Linked DNA regions of Callithrix jacchus. The protein of the gene in region 2 binds, or shares a complex with, the protein of the main gene of each other region. Links are inferred from orthologs where the notes say so. Each region holds a gene or a part of one and is shown on either strand. Other genes may lie near its edges. The genes, in order: S100A4, ANXA2 and S100A10.

Evidence for each region.
Region 1: the proteins of ANXA2 (region 2) and S100A4 are in contact, whole or in part, in a crystal structure (PDB 5LPU), measured with the Homo sapiens proteins. The link is inferred for Callithrix jacchus from reciprocal best matches to the Homo sapiens genes ANXA2 and S100A4. Residues at the interface, in NP_001002857.1 of Homo sapiens: Leu13, Glu14, Pro21, Ser22, Ala23, Tyr24, Ser26, Val27, Lys28, Tyr30, Thr31, Asn32, Phe33, Glu36, Arg37, Leu40, Thr44, Gln69, Asp70, Phe73, Arg77, Arg78; in NP_002952.1 of Homo sapiens: Lys35, Leu38, Pro43, Ser44, Phe45, Leu46, Gly47, Lys48, Arg49, Thr50, Asp51, Ala54, Phe55, Lys57, Leu58, Asn61, Leu62, Gln73, Phe78, Cys81, Ile82, Met84, Met85, Glu88, Phe89, Phe93.
Region 3: the proteins of ANXA2 (region 2) and S100A10 are in contact, whole or in part, in a crystal structure (PDB 4FTG), measured with the Homo sapiens proteins. The link is inferred for Callithrix jacchus from reciprocal best matches to the Homo sapiens genes ANXA2 and S100A10. Residues at the interface, in NP_001002857.1 of Homo sapiens: Val4, Glu6, Ile7, Leu8, Lys10, Leu11, Ser12, Leu13; in NP_002957.1 of Homo sapiens: Phe39, Gly41, Phe42, Asn45, Gln46, Ala51, Lys54, Ile55, Leu79, Ala82, Cys83, Tyr86, Phe87, Met91.

What each region holds. Positions count from the first base shown.
Region 1 is NC_133519.1:13,956,503-13,963,071, forward strand, and holds the start of S100A4 (protein S100-A4), read right to left. Parts: upstream 3,979-6,569; 5' UTR 3,966-3,978; coding exon 3,828-3,965; intron 2,141-3,827; exon of another isoform or gene 1,299-2,140; intron 1,169-1,298; coding exon 1,013-1,168; intron 303-1,012; coding exon 138-302; 3' UTR 1-137. Other genes in the region: S100A3 (protein S100-A3), read right to left, coding at 4,355-4,519, 4,998-5,143, 6,117-6,117. UniProt on the Homo sapiens protein: Calcium-binding protein that plays a role in various cellular processes including motility, angiogenesis, cell differentiation, apoptosis, and autophagy.
Region 2 is NC_133509.1:7,196,658-7,203,204, forward strand, and holds the start of ANXA2 (annexin A2), read right to left. Parts: upstream 3,569-6,547; 5' UTR 3,518-3,568; intron 1-3,517. UniProt on the Homo sapiens protein: Calcium-regulated membrane-binding protein whose affinity for calcium is greatly enhanced by anionic phospholipids. It binds two calcium ions with high affinity. May be involved in heat-stress response.
Region 3 is NC_133519.1:11,917,999-11,924,605, forward strand, and holds the start of S100A10 (protein S100-A10), read right to left. Parts: upstream 4,254-6,607; 5' UTR 4,202-4,253; intron 1-4,201. UniProt on the Homo sapiens protein: Because S100A10 induces the dimerization of ANXA2/p36, it may function as a regulator of protein phosphorylation in that the ANXA2 monomer is the preferred target (in vitro) of tyrosine-specific kinase.

The DNA.
Region 1 (6,569 bases), on a different chromosome or scaffold from region 2:
TTCCAAGAATCTTTATTGAATTTGCTCAGCATCAAGCACGGGTCTGAAGGAGCCGGGGCGGTGGGGGGGAGGGCCTGTACCCATTGCTGACAGGGAAGACCCCAGCTGGCAGACCCCCAACCACATGGGAGGAGCTTTCATTTCTTCCTGGGCTGCTTATCTGGGAAGCCTTCAAAGGATTCATTACACATCATGGCGATGCAGGACAGGAAGACGCAGTACTCCTGGAAGTCCACCTCGTTGTCCCTATTGCTGTCCAGGTTGCTCATCAGCTTCTGGAACGCGGCTTCATCTGTCCTTTTCTGGAGGGAGAAGAGGCTACGCATAGAAAGCAGAAGCCCAGTGGGTGGCGCCAGGACCAGACCCAGTTTCTACCTCCGGACCAGAGCTCGGGAAGGCTCCTTTGGGAGGTCCAGTTCGGAACTCCCACCCCCAAGGCTAAGCTAGGGCGGAGAAGGTGCTCCTTGGATGAGAAAGTCTGAGTACCTGGTGCAACGGAAAAATGACAGGGCCACAACATTTTCACCCAAGGCTGTTCTAATAATCCCATGAGGGATTATTTCAGTCATGAAAGACATATGTAAACTGTGCAATGTTTGCTACCGATGTACATTGTTATTGTTTGAGGGGAAAGTCTGCAGGCATGTGATCATCTCCACATTGTATCTTCACAAGCCAGACAGAAACTCAGTGTCCATCGTTGGAGTAAGGGCAAGAGTCACACCGTCCCGGCCCGGATGGCCGTTCTGGGCACTGACCACCTTGGGAAGTTACTTAGCACCCTGAGCTTAGGCTTCCCTTCAGTGCAGAGTACCTGGTGGTGTCTGACCAGTTCATTCTCAGCCCTCTTTCAGCAGGGCGCCAGTCCGTGAGTGGTGGTATTCACTGTTTCCACCCCAAGCAGCCGCCCCACTGATAGATGCCCTCTGTAGCTAATTCTCTATAGCAGGACTGCTGCCTCCTCTGTGGGAAATCGCCCATGTGGGGGCACACTCAGGCACTACCCACTCACCCTCAAGAAGCTGGGCAGCTCCTGGGTCAGCAGCTCCTTTAGCTCTGACTTGTTGAGCTTGAACTTGTCACCCTCTTTGCCTGAGTACTTGTGGAAGGTGGACACCATCACATCCAGGGCCTTCTCCAGGGGGCACGCCATGACAGCCGTCAGGATCTGGGGGCAGGAGGCACAGAGACCCTCTTATTTACCCCACCCCCCAGCGATGCACTCACATCCCTTGCTGGGAGCACTTGGTGAGACTCTGCTCCCTCCCTGGGGGGGCTCAGAGCAGCGGGCCCAGCACCTGGTGGGAGGGTGTGGGGAACACATGCTCCGGGCGGTGAACAGTGGATGTTTGCAGGACCCTCTGCACAGGCTCTGGAGATTCAGGCAGCAAGCTCCCAGGCCTCTCCTCAACAACAGCATTTTTTCCACCCCTCACTCAGTCAATCCACTCCCACAGCTCAGCCACAAAGGCCCCGCCCTGGCCATTCTTCTCCCTCCCAGCAATGGGCGAGGCTGCTGGAGGCCTGCCCAGGGCCCTGCAGCGGAAAAAACCAGCCGCTTAGCGCTCAGCCTAGGGAGGGGCAGAGTGAGGTGGCAGAGTCAAGGGTTGGAGGAGAAGGTGCAGAGGCCATGCTCTCGACCTGGGCTGCTGGGTGCAGGGCAGAGGCTCCTGGCGCACACCACCAGACAAACACCCACAGTTCCCTTCTGCCTTTGCTTTGCTTCCTGCACCCGAGCATGCAACCCAGCAAGCGTGAGCCAGTGCATATACCCACGGGCACATATACACCGACACACACTAGAGCAACAGCACATGCAAGCCGCATCTCAGAAGCACCTGGAGAGCTCAAAGCCAGCCACTTGCTCGCTTTTCTGTTTGTTTTTTCCTCCCTCTTACATGCACGTGTGTGTGTGCACATGCACACCCACGCACACACCCACACACACACACTCTATCCAGAGCTTCCACATCAGAATCTCACATCTGGATCTGTTTAGCACATCTCGCCCCCACCCACCTCCCCTTCTCCTGCCCCAGCCCTGGCCTCTGACACCCCTTGCATGCCAGTCAGGCCAACACAACTCACCAGGCCAAGGGAGAAGAAGTGGAGGAGAGAGGGTTGTAGAGAGCGGAAGAACGGGGACGGCCCAGCAGTCTGACCTATTTATACCCCCGCCAGGCCCTGCCCATAGCAGGGGATGGGGGAGAGCAGATACTGCCCTCCTACTGTGGGCTGACATGGTAAGGGCCACAGCACCGTCCACCAGCCCAGCCTTGGAACCAAGCTTCTTGTCCCCAGGTGGGCCCCTGTGGGCAAGGGGTAAGCCCCAATGGTTACCACCAGCAGAGACCTGGATGTGATACACACTACCCAGTGTACATAGCCTGAGTTTTAGAGAGGTGGAGGAAGGGCAGCCTGTGCCTAGAGCATTGGCGACAGGGAGAGAGTAGTCTCCCCTCTTTTTTTGAGATGGAGTTTCACTCTTGTTACCCAGGCTAGAGTACAATGGCCTGATCTCGGCTCCCTGCAACCTCCGCCTCCCAAGTTCAAGTGATTCTCCTGCCTCAGCCTCCCAAGTAGCTGGGATTACAGGCATGTCCCAGCACACCCAGCCAATTTTGTATTTTTAGTAGAGACCGCATTTCACCATGTTGGCCAGGCTGGTCTTGAACTCTGGACCTCAGGTGATCCACCCGCCTCGGCCTCTCAAAGTGCTGGGATTACAGGTGTGAACCATCGCGCCCAGCCAAAAAAGTTTTTTTAATTAGCTAGACAGCGTGGCTGGAGCCTGTAGTCCCAGCTAGTCAGGAAGCTAAAACAGGAGGATCATTTGAGCCCAGGAATTTGAGACTGCAGTGAACTATGCTCAAGCCACTGCTCTCCAGCCTGGGCAACACAGCGAGACCTTGTCTCTTAAAAAAAATGAAGATTAAGGCCCGGCGCGGTGGCTCATACCTGTAATCCCAGCACTTTAGGAGGCCGAGGCGGGTGGATCATGAGGTCAGGAGTTCAAGACCAGCCTGGCCAAGATGGTGAAATCCCATCTCTAGTAAAAATTACAAAAAATTAGCCGGGTGTGGTGGCAGACGCCTGTAATCCCAGCTACTCAGGAGGCTGAGGCAGGAGAATTGCTTGAATCTGGGAAGTGGGGGTTGCAGTGAGCCGAGATCATGCCACTGCACTCCAGGCTGGGTGGCAGAGGGAGACTCTGTCTCAAAAAGTAAATAAATAAAGATTAAAAAACAAAAATGGGGGAGGGGATCCCCAGGCCCAGTACTGTCTGCCATGCCAAGTAAGGCCCAGGGCCGGAGCTGGGGGGTCTGGAGGGGAAGAGGTTCATACACAAAAGAGGCTCTGGGACCACCTCATAAATGTCAATGGGAAAGGTTCTGGGTGAGGTAGTGATGGAATGGGTGGCAATGAGGCGTGGGGTCTCATGGATAGACCCCAGGTTCGGAGAAGCTATCGGGGGTGCCATTTAAAGTTGGGGTGAGTGTCGGGAATGAAGAATCCAGGTTGGGGTGGAGAGTGAGAGGCGAAATGGCACAAAATAGGGAAGTCAGGATTTGGGTCGACCTCTCAGGGTGGGCTGCAAGCTCAGTGAGGGTTAGAAGTAGGGGGTTAAGGCCCTCAGGGGGCTGTGGCTTCAGGGATGGGGACTGCCTCAAGATACCCCCTGCCCCCTCCACACCGGCACCCCGCCCTGGCTGGGAGTAAACACCTCAAACACTCTAATCCCATTAGTGCTGCTCTCTGGGCTCCCACAGCCCGCGGCAGGGAACTAACAGCCCCACCCCACCCTCACCCCACCCTCGTCATATCACCTGATCAAGAGCACTGAGTCCCAGGAGAAACTTAGGCGGCCCTCTCTCAAAGACCCCCAGAGAAAGAGAGAGGAAGGGAGGACGGGGGTCCCAGTGTTGGCCCCACGCCCTCCTGCTGGACTCTGGAGGCCACGGCATTTCTGCAGGGTCTGAAACGTCCCTGGGGGAGCCTCCTGCTCCTGCCCTCAGCTGCCCTCCTGCAGTGGAAAAGTCCAGAGAGGAGCAAAGAGCTCAGCAGACGCGTCCCCGGAGAAGAACCAAACAAAGCCAAGCTGATGCCAGCCTTTTATTAGGAGTTAAATAGGCCCCTTCCCATCGAGGTCTCACTGGGGTCTCAGAGCAGATCCCGCCTCCTCCCAACCACAGGGGAGGCAGTAGGGGTGCGGCGGGCAGGCTGGGGCCCAGAGTGGCTCTACCCCTCCCTCGCTGGGCATCCTGGGTAAAATGGGTTAACTGATCACGGAAGACCTTGGCAAGTCCAGATTGGAAGGGGTGCAGGAGAGAGGGTGGGGGAGTAGTAGCGGAGGCTACTGGGGGCAGGGGGGCTCTGGGGCGCAGTCCTTGAAGTACTCGTGGCAGTAGAGACAGAGACAGGCCAGTGAGCGCACGTACTCCACAAAGTCCACCTCGCAGTCCTTGTCGGTGTCCAGAACACTCATGAATTTGTTGTAGTCACACTCCCGAAACTCGGTCTGTGCAAGGGAGGGGTGGGGAAGGGTGGGGGAGCAGGATGAGGAGGGCAGAACAGCCTCGCACGCCACTGCCCTCCCTCCTCTCCCAAGCGGACCCACCCCACCCCAAACTACACCCTTCCGAGGGCCGACTTCAACCTACCTGTTCCAGTAATGCACCCATTGCGATCCCCTCCCAAATCCACCCTCTCAGATTGTCAATTGAGCACCTACTATCTGCTACTGAGTGCCTACTACGCATTAGGCATTCTTCATGGTGCTCTCGCTCAGTCCTCTCACAACCCTGCAAGGCAGCAGGTGTGATGATTGTCCTTCCATTTTACAGGTGAGGAAGCTGAGGCTTCTGCTACTCCCTCCTTCCAGTCCAGCCTCCTCCCCTTGTGGACCTGTGCTCCGGCTTGTCCCCACGACTCTCTTTGCAGAGTCCAGGCCTTACCTCCTGCCGGGTGAGGAGGGTACGGACACTCTGCGTACTCACCGGGGTCCAGGTGGGCAGCTCCTTCTGCAGCAGCTCCTTGAGCTCAGCCTGGCAGAGCTTGTGTTTGTCCCCACAGCGCCCGGCATACTCCTGGAAGGTGCACACGATGGCAGCTACCGCCTGCTCCAGAGGCCTGGCCATCCTCACTGTCACAGAACAAGGGCGTGACTCACAGCAGAGTTCCAGGCCAGCCCCCTGCTCACCTCTGCCTTCCATGTTTCTCAGAGACTGTTCCCAGACCCAGCTTAACCTCCACCAGGCTTCAGGCCCCATGGCTTCCCCTCCTCTGAGCAGCCCTCCTGGACCACACCAGCCCCTATTCATTTATCTCCCTGCTGCCCTCTTGTGATTTTCCACATGTAGAGGTCTCATTGCCCCAACATCACTGCAAACTCCTTAAAGAGAGGGCATCTCACCCCACCACCCACACACCCCACCGTGGGGCTCCTTAGGCATTCTTGGGTTCTCTGCTTATCTCCAATACCCAGGGGTGGCTTGGTCCCCGTCTGCCCCAGCCCATGAGATGCCCTAGAAGCCTTCTGCCCTGCAGGAACTTGCACAGGAGAGCCTGGCCCTGTAATTCTCTGTCCTCAGGCCCGAGGAGAAGCTAGGCCTTAGCAGGGAGGGAGGGGCAGGCCTGAGAGGGGCCCACACCGCCTCACCACCACTCCCCTCACCCTGCCTCCTGCCCTGAACTCAAGGAAGCTGCATCCAAAAGAAAAACTCGTGGGCTCCTCTCTGCCTCTCACCAGCTCTGCAAGCCTGGTGAGCCATTTGCCTCTCCGGGTCTCAGGGGCCTGATCTGTGAAGTGGGGTTCATCCCACCTTGCAGGCCCAGTCAGGAACTGGAGCCAGATGGTCTCTTGAGAGTTGACCGGTTCAGGTATTTACCAATCTGAGACTGGCCTCCCCTGAGGTTACCCCCCTGACCCCTAGAGGGAAGGATCTGTACAGGGGTACCCTTTTCTATTGGAGGGGAAGTCCTTCCTGGAATTGCTCACCTCCCCCCACTTCCACTGTACCCTTCCACCGCCCTTCTGGGATGATGCCTCCAGCCTGGGAAAACCCTAAGGCGGCCAGGAAGGCAAGAGTTTTTTCCATGCAAGACCAGTGACTCACTCTTGGTTCCCTCATGGGACGAGAGTCCTGCAGCACAGGGTGGCCAGGGCCAAGACTCTCCCTGAAGGTTCGCCCACTGCTGGGCCTGCTGCTGGGAGCAAATGGCTGGTGTGGTTGTGGCTGGCAGGAAAGTAGGGGAAGGAGAGTGGGGGGTGCCAAGCACTGCCAGGGTTCAATTGGTTGTAAACAGCCCAGGATTGGAGCAAGGTGTCCAGGTTCCCAGCAGAGGAAAGGGCCATGATCCCCGGGAATGAGGAGCCACAGAGGGGTTCAGCACACCTTTCTGCGCTCCTGCCAGCCTGCCTGGCACCACCACTGCTGCTGTTTCAGAAGCACAGTGCCTGGAGGTGTGGGAATCCTCTCTTCCCCCTGCAGCCTTAGCCAATCTTGACCCGTCCCCAGGAATAAAGCAAGGAGGCAAGGAGCAGGCGAGGGGCTGACTAAGGAGAACAC
Region 2 (6,547 bases):
GCCTGTAATCCCAGCTGCTCAGGAGGCTGAGGCAGGAGAATCGCTTGAACCTGGGAGGTGGAAGCTGTTGTGAGCAGAGATCCTGCGACTGCACTCTGGCATGGGAGACAGTGCAAGGCTCCCTCTCAAAACAAAACAAAACAAGCTTTAGGGTGTACCCTAGAAGGGAGATTTGGAAGTAATCTCGGTGGAACCACCCAGAAGAACAAATACGGGCCTCTCCTGACCCCTACTGCTGACCTGTCCCTTGGCAAAGTAGATGAACTGCCTCTGGCAACAGCAGAAGAAAAAACATACCAGGCAGTGAATGGGTGGAATTTTTTTAAAAGAACTGGAATTTCCTTTGCTGTGGCCTACAACTAGAATAGGGTGTGGCACCAGGGAAAATGAAGTCAGAGGATTCATATGTGAGAAAAAGAGGAACATTGCATTTTTTTTTTTTTTTTTTGAGATGGAGTTTCACTCTTGCTACCCAGGCTGGAGTGCAATGGCGTGATCTCGGCTCACCGCAACCTCCGCCTCCTGGGTTCAGGCAATTCTCCTGCCTCAGCCTCCTGAGTAGCTGGGATTACAGGCACGCGCCACTGTGCCCAGCTAATTTTTTGAGTTTTTAGTAGAGACGGGGTTTCACCATGTTGACCAGGATGGTCTCGATCTCTTGACATCGTGATCCACCCGCCTCGGCCTCCCAAAGTGCTGGGATTACAGGCGTGAGCCTCTGCGCCTGGCCTGGAACATTGCATTTCTATTTAATCCTCACAGATGAATGTGGAAGGCAACTTAAGACACCATAACTGTAAGCAAAACTTCCTTGAGGTAGGCAAATGACGCTCAGGTCTGTGGAACAGCCGGATTAAAGGCGAAATGAACACCCACCACGTTTGGAAACTAGTATTAATTTGGGAAAATACAGTTTAAAACCCAACAATTCACTTATTTGTCTCTTTTCTTTCTCTCTCCGCTAGATTTGGGGGTGGCGGGGGGGGAAGGGGAGTCTGTTTTGTTCACTGCTGTATCCCTAGCGCCCACTGTGGGTAGAACACAGTAGGTGATGAATATGCTGTGGAATAAATCGTTGTTTAAAGCAGCCCACTAGAGCCTGAGACACCTTTCGTGACACTCCCACTCTCCCTCAATGAAAAATGGTCCCGCGGCTGAGGCTCTGCACAAGAGTGAGAACAAAGGCTCGCGACGGCAATGTGGTGGTGGCAGATTCTAGGCCTGATGCTGCAGGAAGAGCCTACTGCCCTCAAAATCAATAGCAATTACAGAAGCATATGCTACTATGCCAGGAAAACTACTTAAATCAGAACTTAGCCGGGAAACTAACGGCCATGACTGCAAGCTTAATGTCAATCAATACCATAGGTTAATAGCTCAAAGACACAAGAGGTTAAATATTGAGACTCCGGTGCAAGACTGGGCCCCTAATCAGAGTCAGTGAGTCAGCAATGTTTCCTGGGCATTTACCACAGGCAGGCTACTTGGCACTGCAAGAAATACAAAATGTAGGTGGTCTCCAAATCATAACCTTCCAATTGGAAAAATGCACACAGACGGTCACACCCTTCCACTGCAGATTCAACGCTCTTTTGGAGAAACCCTTGAAACCTTTCGATACTAGACGGGCTTAGACGAAGGGAAGAAATCAAGGACACCTCGGCTGTGTTGGTCTTACCTAAAATATTTCTTGATATTGCCTGAATATGATCACTTTCTGACTCCACAGCTTTGAGTTCTATAAATTATAGATCTGTTTAGGTGAATGAGGTTTTTTTAAAAAAATTATTTTATGTCTTTATTTTTTGAGGCTGGGGTCTTGCTATATGGCTCACACTGGCCTTGAACTCCTGGATTCCAGCGATCCTCCAGCGTGAGTAGCAGGGACTACAGGCCCCGGACCACACCCAGCATTGTTTTTTTAAATAACTCCTCTAGGTTGCTGAGGATCTTTGGACCACCAACCATTCCTAACTTAATGAATATTGTTTCAATTTGCTGGTCTCTAGCTGGATACCGGTTTGGTTCACTGAAATGGGAAGGGGGAGGAAGGAGGAAGGAATGTGGACCAGCCTGGACAGCTGTTGTAATAGGACACAGAAGAGCGTCTCTAAGGAGGTGGAAGGTGAAAAAGAAACTGGAACAGAGGCAAAGACATAGTGTTTCAATTAAATTAATTTACTCAGTGTAAATCTCAAAAACATACCGCCCCTCACTACCCTCCACCTCCCCAGCACCATCCCCGTACTTAGGAAGGGCATGTTAAATAGGGTTTTCAGGGCTGGACTGGGAAGGTCAGCGCCTTCGGCAACACAGTTTCAATGGGAGGGGGCACTCCGCATTCCAAGTCACCGAGTTCCAGACAGGCAGGCACAGCAGCACACACGCAAGAAGAGAATCCATCGCTACAGTCTGGGGCCCAGGCCCTTGCACACCAACAGCCTGAGGTTCTTGGTAATGGCCCGGCGTGCACCCATGAGGCCACTGCTCTTTTACACACAGACTGGGAACACCCACAGCTTTCAAATGGCAATCTGACTACAAAAATGAGACTTGGCATTTGCACAGCACTGAGTGTTTTCTGTGTGCTTTACACATTTATTTTTGAATGACTTTTTGAAACCCTGTTTGGGTGGTGGTAAGAATAGGCATCCTTAAGTCGCTCTCCCAGATAAAGAAAGGTGTTCCCCTCCTTCTTCTCAACAGCCAGCTGAGGGAACCCAAGCCTTCCACGCCAGCCCTGGGGCCAGCTGCACCGAGCCTCCAGGAGACAGCGGCCCCGGGGCCACGCCCTTTTCTGTACCCTCAGTTCCTGACTCATTGCCACATCACGGTAACAGTCAGGACAACCCGCCCCGCAGAATCATGGGGGACACTCTCTTCCTGGGGCCAATGTGTTCAACCAAGAGGAAAAGTCTCCAGGAAGAGTGAAATCCGAAGGTGCTATCCCACAAGATCCTCTAGACCAACGGGAATGAACGGGCGTTTTCCTGTTTCCTTTCGTGGGGGGCGGTGGTGTCTACGCACTCGCCCCTCTCATCCTCCCGCACTGCTCTCCTGCGGGTCGGCTCCAGTGCACAAGCGCACGTTTGCTCCGAGTACAGTCACTTAGAACAGATGGGGGCACTTTCTCGAGGGCGGTGGAAAGCCCACCGGCTCCCCGGGTGGCCACACCCTGCCTCGCGGCGCCCGGCGCTTCTGGAATGCAGGGCCGCCCTCCGCCCCCTCCCCGCGCCGCGTCTCCCCGTTCCTGCGAGGACTTCAAGGGGCAGCCCGACACCCCTCGCCTGGGCCCTGCACCCTCCCGGCCCGGACGCCGGCGGCCCCTCACCCGTGCCCCGCACACCTTGCCCCTGCGCCCCCCTCCCCAAAGACTCTCCAGTGCGGGCGGACCCTTCAGCCCCTTGCCCCCCGACGGCCTCCGGGACCCTTCGCCCGAGCCTCCCTGCCAGGCCGTGCCCTTGTTCCCAGCGTCTCCACACCCCGCTAGCGGGCAGGCAGGGCGCGCCTCGCTCACCTGGGCCGGGCGCCGAGAGCAGAGAGCAGAGAGCGTCCCCAGATGCCGAGCGGAGCCCGCTGGCCTGGGTGGGGCTTTTATAACCCGCCGCTTCCTCCCGGAGAGGCGAGGCCCGCCCCGCCCCGCCCCGCCTCTACCCCCCACCCCCGGCCCGCTCCCACCCCGAGTCAGGGTGACTCACCCCGGCCCGCGGGCCCGCAGGGACCGCGCCCTGAAACGCTCCCGAGCCGCGCCATACGGGAGCGGCCCCCGCACCCCTGGCCCTGCCCTGGGAGAAAGCCCGGCCTAGGCTGCCCGCAGGCCCATAGGGGCCCGGCTTCTTCCTCCTTTCCTCGTTTTGCTTAAGTGCCACGTCGAGCTCTCAGCCTCGGCTTGGGTTAATAAATTAGCAAGACTTTAGAAGTAGACTCCGGGCATGGTTAAGTGGCTTTTTTTTTTTTTTTTTTTTTGGCGATAATGCAATGGAGGAAAGAATTGTTCCAACAAGCATAAATCTGGACTCCCCTGAGCTGGGGCTGTTGGCATCCAGCGCACCATTACCTTGGGGAGTCTGCAACATGTCAGATTCATCTCTGGCCGCCAGTTCCCGGGGGCCGCGCCGGGAGGGAGGGAGATTCGCCCTGTGCTGCAAAGCCAGGGCTGCCCCGGCCTCCGAGCGCGCTGGGAGGCCGAAGCCGCGAGCCAAGATGCCGCCTCAGTCGCGCCCCGGGAGGCGCCCCTCTCCCTAGTACGGCTGTGCTCTCTCCTCTCCGCGCCTCGTGGCATGCGGTCCTGGGCTGGGTGGGCCCATGGCTTTGGACCCGGAGTTTCAACATATTACTTTCCTCCTGTCCTTCTTTCTTGACTGCTGGGTGTGTATGTTGCTGCGGGTGTGTGTGTGTGTTTCTTGCAACTGGGGTGTGGGTGGGTGTGTGTCTTGCACAGCCTCGTTGTGTGTGTTGGTGTGTGTGTGTTTCTTGCAGCTGGGTTTTGTGTTTCTTGCAACTGGGGTGTGGGTGGGTGTGTGTCTTGCACAGCCTCGTTGTGTGTGTTGGTGTGTGTGTGTTTCTTGTAGCCGTTTACCCAACTCTCTTGCCTGGTTTTGCTGTTTCTCGATTTTCCTCCAAGAGTCACGTTGGCAATGTGCGGGCTAACACGTATTTGTTGTATGTGTGACGACGCAAATACTGTATTCAAAACCTCAAACTAGCAGGAAAGCTATGGTAAGAACCCCTCACAGCGTCTTTTAAATCCCTCCTTGCACGCTCACTTCCTGCAGCTTTTTTTCTGCTTTTGAGGATTCTGTGTTTTAATCTCCCATTTCTCTTCATGTCCATTTTAACTTTCCAGTTGAGCGTCAATTCACTCCTGGGAATCAGAGAACGATAAGGCCAACAGACATTCAGTGCTCTGCTCACTGTCCTGGAGTGAGACAGGGGAAAGTCGGCCACAGCTGGAGTCTCTTAGCAAGCCACCCAGAGCTCTCTGTTACCCAGCGCTTTCATGAGGAAGTATACACGACGGGCCCTACCGCAGGGCCAAATAGAAAATAAAACAACATTTTGGGTGCAATTACTGATTTACATTTATAGCTCTTCAATATAGCCTGAAAGCTTCAAAGGCAGAAACAATGTTTATTGCCTGTTTGGTGTGACCTGTGCTGTGATAGGCCCTTCACAGAAGATAAAATTTAATCAAATCATATGGAATATATAAAAGCCATCAAATGTCCAAAAGAATTTTGTGCTCATCTTGGGCATGCAGCAAATCCAAATTTCCATAGATTTGTACAATCACCAGGCTTTGCTTCATTCGAAAGAAATGTGCACTGATGTTATCATAAAAATGGAGCTTTTGATTAGAAATCATAGTTCGGCTGGGCATGGTGGCTCATACCTGTAATCCCAGCACTTTGGGAAGCTGAGGTGGGAGGATCACCTGAGATCAGGAGTTCATGACCAGCCTGCCCAACATGGTGAAACCCCATCTCTACTAAAAATACAAAAATTAGATGGGCGCGGTGGCAGGTGCCTGTAATCCCAGCTACTCAGGAGGCTGAGGCAGGAGAATCGCTTGGGCCTGGGAGGCAGAGGTTGCAGTGAGCTGAGATTGCGCCATTCACTCCAGCCTGGGCGACAGAGCAAGGCTCCAGCTCAAAGAAAAAAAAAGGTCATAGTAGGCTATTTCCGAGGAATGTGTGGCCAGTTCTGCCAGTATAAAAGATCTTTTGAGTGTTAGTCAGAGAACTCTACTCCCCACCGTCCCGCCCCCACCGACCGCCCCTCCCACTCCCACCTCCCGGATCCCCTGCCACGGTGGGGAGAATATTTACGTCAGCCCTCAAATTGTCTGCTGTAGTCCATATTGTCTTCACACTTTATCTGCTGCACTCAGTGCCTCCACTAGCGCCTAGCTAGCGATGGTAGGCACTCACTAAATGTGATAAGAGTGATAGAATACAATTATTCACTGAATAGAATGTTAGAGCAGACAAGGACCCTAGAGATTAAATTGCCCCATACTTGATTTTTACTCTTGTTATTATTGAGATGGATTTTCACTCTTGTTGCGATCTTGGCTCACTGCAACCTCCCCCTGCCACATTCCAGTGATTCTCCTGCCCCAGCCGCCCGAGTAGCTGGGATTTACAGGCCTGCACCACCATGCCCGGCTAATTTTTTCTGTATTTTCAGTAGAGACAGGGTTTCTCCACGTTGGTCAGGCTGGTCTCAAACTCCCAACCTTAGGTGATCTGCCGGCCTGGGCCTCACAAAGTGCTGGGATTACAGGCATGAGCCACCACTCCTGGCCTTACTGCTTTTTTTTAGTTTCAGTCTCACTCTGTCACCCAGGCTGGAATGCATGGTGTGATCAGGGCTTATTGCAGCCTTGACTGCCGAGGCTCAAGCAGTCATCTCCCCTCAGCCTCTTGAGTAGCTAGGACCACAGGCCCGTACACCAAGCCCTGCTAATTTTTCCATTATTTAGAGAGATGTCAAGGTCTTGCCATGCTGCTCAGGCTGGTCTCGAACTCCTGGGCTCAAGGGATCC
Region 3 (6,607 bases), on a different chromosome or scaffold from region 2:
GGGCCTCACCAGAGAAGGAACTCTGTTTTGAAGAAGGAGCTGCACACTGGCTTTAAGACAGAGGAAAGGGGAAAATGTTATTAAAACTCTGTTCTCTTGGCTAGAGGATGAATCACATAGCTCTTGTCAGAGTGCAGCCACTGGTGGCCCCACTGAGTCAGCCCTGCCTGGCCCTCGGTTCTTGGGTGGGGCTTGCCTGGGCAGGGCTGACTGCAGCACTGACTGTTAGCTGCTGAAACAAGCTCTTCAGGGACTTTAATCTGGCATTTCCTCCCTTACCTAGCCACTCTGCAAGCTCTGTTCAGATGTGGGCTTCCTGCATCCTGGTTAGACACACTTTGACAGGAGGGCTTTGGGGCTGAGGCCAAGAGGCAGCAGTACACTCTCTATCCCCAAGAACTTGCTCTTGTACCTGAAACATTCCATTCCATTTAATTGTTTACTTGTCAGTCTGAGATTTAAGCTCCTCTTGAACAAGAACTACGAATTATTCTGCTTTTATTCGTGGAGCACTGTTAACTGTTAGGTGCATAAATGAACCACACAAGCCCTTGAGTAGTAGCTGAGGTGCAAGTGTGATTACCTAGAACTAGGCTGAAAACCTTGTAGCTAAGAGCTCAAGAGGACAATGTGAGAGTTGGGAAGGGCCAGGAAAGGGGCCCCAAAAAGGTTCAACTATGAATGGAACAGTAGAGTACACAGGAGGGCACATTCCATACGCAAAAGGGAAAATATGTGTCCTGCTAAACAGGTCTGGTCAGAATGACATGACTTTGCTCCTTCTCTTCTAACACTTGGCTGTTTTCTCATGTTTTCCATTCATCACATCTTCTACTTTATGCTTTTCTAGTGTTGCTGTCTCACTGCTGAGCATCACAGGATGTAACAGCCTTGCTGTCCACTCACCTTTTATTGAATTATTCTATTCTGATGCCTATACATGCCCACCTTGTCTGCCTGAGCAACAGGTCTTAAGAAGGGAGGTTGAGACATCTCTCTCTCTATAGTTCTCTCTATAGAAAACAATTCTGGACTCTACGAATTTAGTTACCATAGGAGGAATTCAATTTTCCATTTTTGGTTCTCCCACTCTGAGCATCCACTTTGAATGTCCCAGACACACATACACACACACATGCAGATACACACGTTCTCCCCATTATGCTTGCCTTTGAGGAATTAACCAGCTAATAGAAACTACTTAAGCATCTGGCATGAATTCTATTTATTTGTGTTTCTGTTTCTTTCCTCACCAGATTGCAGGTTTCTTGAGCAGGGTCCCAGTAGCCAGTGCTTGAGCCCTCATTGACCCTGCTCGATTAATTTATAAGAAGTCAATAATAATGTATTATGGTTGTCCTGAGAGTAGCAGAGAAGCAGGAGTCCTCAGAAAAGTGTCTGCTCCTGAGCAATCTCAAATGTTTGCTCTGGACCTGTGCCCAGATCCCAGCTGCAGTTTCAAAGAGGACACTTCTGAAGAGCGAGAGTCAGACTTGCTTTGCTTCTCTGTATCTCGTCCATACCCTAGTTTTCTTACAGCCCACCCAGAAAATAAATGGCAGGGCGTCAGTAAAAACAAACATCTGTTATTTAAAATATGTTTGAGATTTCCTTCCTTTTGCTTTAGAAATTTTGGAGTTTTTTTTTTTTTTTTTAATTGAACCCAGAAGGCATTCTTGAATTTGATCTTTGAAGCTAATTCAGAAAAAATGAGCTGAACCAATGGATCTGGATCCAGGCTGTCTCTCTCACCTCTTACCAAATAAAACTTGCTCACGAAAGACTTGGGCAGCAAAGGAAAGTTTCAGATGCAATTCAATAGGAAGAAAGAACTCCAAAGAAACCTCCTCCAATCTAACCGAGTACATCCATTTTTCCTTAAAAAATGCTCAGGCATCAGCCTAATCAGCCAACATAGCTATTGTGACAACTGCTATTTAATCCTTTGGTAGGGTGGGTGGTACTTATTTAGTAAAGGAATAGAAAGTTCTGAAAATTGTTTAAAAGAAGTAAATTGTTTTTGCTTTTGATGTGAGATTCTTAAATTTGTTGAGTCCCCAGAAAAATGAGAAACGTAAGATGTTAAAATTTTAGTCCAGCTTTCTCAGCACTTTGAGTGCTACTTTATACATTATAAGCCTGAAAGAATTCCATTGTTTCTCTCAACTTTATGCTTTGAAAGACTGGACTGTGTCCAAGGGTATATCAAGTGGGTTGTGCTCTACAAAAGACACATTTTTTTGAACTGTCAGTAGAAAGCAGGGAGGCACACAGTCTTGGCTCCACCCAGTCCAGGCCTGACCCCACTGGAGTGGCTGCTTAGGAGGCTGGCAAGAGGCCGGCACACTGGAGGAAAGGGGCCTATTTGGTGTGTCCAAGAAAAGCTAGGAAGAGCATCACCTAGAAAGCAGAGTGAGACCCAACAATTGCTTCATGCCCAGCAGACCAAAAACAGATGGCAAGAACTGAAATAAACTCCAAATGGTGGGTCCCACCGTGAAGAAACTACTCTCTGGCTGCTAAGGAACAAATACACCATTGGGAAGGGATGCTTAAACAGAAACCGGATAGGAATCTGTGGGGCAGGGCCCAGGAAGAAACTTACAGTGAGTTATATGAACTCATTCCTGCTCCAACCCCTGGCATTGTCTTTTACAATTTGCTGAAACATGTTGGAGGCAAAAATCACTGACTGGATGTTTCCACGAGCCTGGTCTCACCTAAAGCACACAACGTAAACTCCACTCCTGGAGGCTAAAACTCAAGCTTCTGGGGAAAAATATCCGAAACAACTGCAAACCTCTTAACGGGAAAGGCTACCTCCCAAGTAAGGCTGAGCCAGGGTGCCAGGCGCATACTGGCCGATAATGAAGAGCGGTCTTGCCAAGGCCTTGGTTACTGATCTAATTACTGCCCTCACCCACAGTTCAGTCAAGAAACCTCTCCTGCAGACTGGAGGCCAGTCCAGGTGTGACTCACTTCCTCTTGGAAAATGCCCTCTGAGATGGCACAGTTCCTCTTTTCCTTCAGGGAGTGTTCTGTCCAAACCATCCACAGAGAGTATCTGCAACCAGCCACACCCACATGGTCTCACAGCTGAGTCACAGGCCTCAGACCACTAGGAGAATCTTGGAGCCTTCTGCCCTAACCACGCCCTGCAGAAGCTCCAGCAGGGACAGAACTGGGTGGGGGCAGAAAGCGGGGTGGGCTTAATGCATCCCAGAGTCTAGCTCAGGGCTCCCCTGTGCTGGCCTGGCTTGGAGCGGTCTGCATTCCACCCCCAGCCAACAAGGCAGAGCTCCTGGTTTCACTTAGAGCCAGACTGAAGCTGGACAGGGCAGCAGTGTCCATAGCTAGGGGCAGCGCCATTCCTTCGGCCAAAGCGCAGGTGGTGAACCAAGTGCCAAAGGCAAGTCTGTCTGTCTCACAAATTAATCTAGGACTGGAAGATCCTTCATCATAGCCTGCTCTTCCTCCATCTCTTTCTGGTTCTACTTAATTAGGTTAGCTAGGGAACCTTTCAGTAGAGAAACCGCTTCACACTGTCCACCGCCCCCATCGAGCCAAACTGCTTTAGAAAGAAAACAAGTGGACCCCCCTCCCTCAGCAGGAAGACCCCCGTCAAGCTGACAACAGGAAGCCCCAACGTGAAACGCCCCTTTGGCCAAGGGACTAAGGGGTACTCCTTAGGAAGGGACGCCCCCAGCTCCCTACTCGTCCTACCCGCGCCTGCTCGGGCTGTCCAGCCGGGTGGAGGCTACGAACATGCAAACCAAGGTTGGCCTGTGGGCAGAACCCACCAAGAAACATGCCAGCCAGGGCAGGGGCAAGCAGGAGGGCTTCAGTAACCGAGAGACGAGTGGGAAAGCAGGAAAGGTGGGAGTAAAGCAAGGCTAACAAAGGGAGGAGAGAAGAGGTCCAGGGGCACCAACACCACAGTCCCCACGTAAAGGACAAGTGTCCCCTCCTCTGGTCCGCCTGGGTCTAGGGGCGGTCGCGCTCGGGCTGGGGACGGGCGCTGCTGGCCTCCTCTGGGTGCGGCCCAGAGCACCAAGCACCGGATTTCCCCACCGGCCGCTCCCCGTCCAGGCCCCGCGGTGCCCGGGACGCTCCGTGAAGCCAAGTGCGGGGGTTACCCCAGGCGGCAGGTCGGGGGCTGGGGACTATCCGGGAAGGGCACGTGGGCAGGGGGGGAGCTCACCTTGGCCAAGGCGCTGCGGATTCTGGGCTAGCTAGACTCGGAGCGGCGAAGCGAGGGCAGCAGGCTGTGAGCCTTCCTTAGTACGTGCGGTGGGTGGGGAGAGGGAGGCGGTGCGGGAGCGGGAGGAGCCTGGCTGGCGCTTGGCCTGGCGCTCCCCAGCCCTGTCTCCTCCCTCTCTTCCTGCCCCCGACTCCCCCGACCCGGGGTTCGCAGCCCACGCCCTGCTCTCGCTCCCCGACCCGCCTCGCTGCTGCCTTGCCCGCCCCAGTCAGAGCGTTCTTGTAAACTTCTCTTCAGTAGGAACGGTCCTGCCCTCCACTATTTCAGGGCATCCCCACCCTGGGCCTGCCCTTCCTCTCGGGTTTGGTTTTAGAAAGTCGGTGACAGAACCTGGCCGTCCTGCGGGTGGGGCACGCTGGCGCAGAACCAGAGGTACCGGCTCTGTGGGCACCTACGGGTCTAGGAATTATTTTCTGGATGACCTTGCAGGGAGTGGCACGTGGAGTCCTAGCGACCTCAGAGGCACTAGAATTTGGTTGTTCTCAGATTAGCCCTAGGAGGTCCATCCGGGGGGTCTCGGCCGCCTGCGCCTGGTCAGGGTGGGGGGGGGGTGGCACCCAGCACCTCCCCAGCAGCCAGGCTCCCCACCCTGCTGGGCCCTCGAGGTGCCAGAGAGGGTGTGGTTTGTCTTGTCAGCACCCAGGGGCGTCACAAACCCTCCGTTGAACAGGGGATTTACTTGACTAATAGTTCAGTTTCAGTGTGGCTAATGTTAAAAACTGGCTGGGCGTGGTGGCTCATGCTTGTAATCCCAACACTTTGGGAGTCCAAGGGCGGGCAGATCACTTGAGGTCAGGAGTTCGAGACCAGCCTGGCCAAAATGGTGATACCTCGTCTCTACTGATAGAAAAAGGAGTCGGGAAAGGTGGTGCGCTACTGATATCCCAGGAGACTGAGACATGAGAATCGCTTGAACCTGGGAGACCGAGGTTGCAGTGAGGCGAGAACACGCCACTTAACTCCAGCCTGGGTGTCAGAGTGAGACTCTGTCTAAAAAAAAAAAAAAAAAAAAGAGTTTAAAACTAAGTTTCCAAGGCATTATGCTGTGGTCCTTAAAAGTCCTTTAGAAGAATTTCCTGGAATAACTTTAGAGGAAACCTAAGTGTTTCCTAGGGGATGCTGACCTACTCTTTGCCCCTCCCTCGCCTCCTTTTATTTGAATTGCGATTTGGGGTTAAATACAAACTACTCGAAGCTGTTGGTGGAAAACAGCCCAGTCCCAAACTCTGGGGTTTTCCTTTGTTCCCAGGGGAGGCCTTGGAAGGAGTGAGCGATCCCAAAGGAATGAGCAGACTTGGGGAATCCTCCAAGTGCCACTTCTGACTAATCTTGGCTGTCGCCAGGAAAACCTAACTTGGATTTCAGCTATTGCTTTTCCTGCAGCCTGGTGCTGACTATTCAAGTGGACAGCTTGTCTTCTGGGATCTTGCTGTATACAGTACTTCCCAGTCCCCAGGTCACAGTCATCAGTGGAGGAAATCTCGGATCCCTTTTGTCCCAGGGATTGGAATGCTACTGGGTTTGGAATAGGAATGCCTGGGTTTGCATACCCGTACTCATCTGATTTCTTCATCTAGTCCACAGACCTTAAAAGTGCTTTAGTGTATGTGCATACGCCTGGGAATTCAGGGATTAAGGAATCAGTCTCTTCCCTCCAAGGGCTTGGGAGTTAGATAAGCAAACAATGTAAATCCAGTGTGCTTAGTGAATGGTAGAGGATACTATCAGATAGTAGGAGAACACTGAGGAGGGGCTTTCAAGTTTCCTTGGAGTGGTCAGAATAATTCTTGCAGGATGCAACATTGGTAGAAATTAAAAAATAATGATGACACTTACTAGAACTTTTAAATCTGTACAAAGATTCTATTCTTAGAAGGCTTGGAAAAATCTTAATGTATAAAATGTGATTTATAAATACATGAACCAAAGGTCAATATTTTCCTATTTCTTTCTAGTCTTTTTATGTATATATGACAAATAGTTACGTAATTCTGATCATGCTGGTTATAAAATTGAGTACAGTCATTCACTGCATAACAATGTTTGAGCCAAGAATGGATCGTGTATACAGCAGTGGTCCCTCAGATTATAATAGAGCCAAAAAATTCCTTTTGCCTAGTGACCTCGTAGCCGTCTAACGCGGTGCTCATGTGCTTGTGGTGATGCTGGTGTGAACAGACTGCTGCGCCGCCGGTTGTGTAAAAACACAGCACATACCGCTTACGTGTAGTAAACAGTCCTTGAGAATGGTAATAAATGACTTACTGCTTTATGGATTTGCTATACTTGTCATCATTATTTTAGAGTGTACTCCTTCTTATTAAAAAAGACAGTAAAACTTTAAAA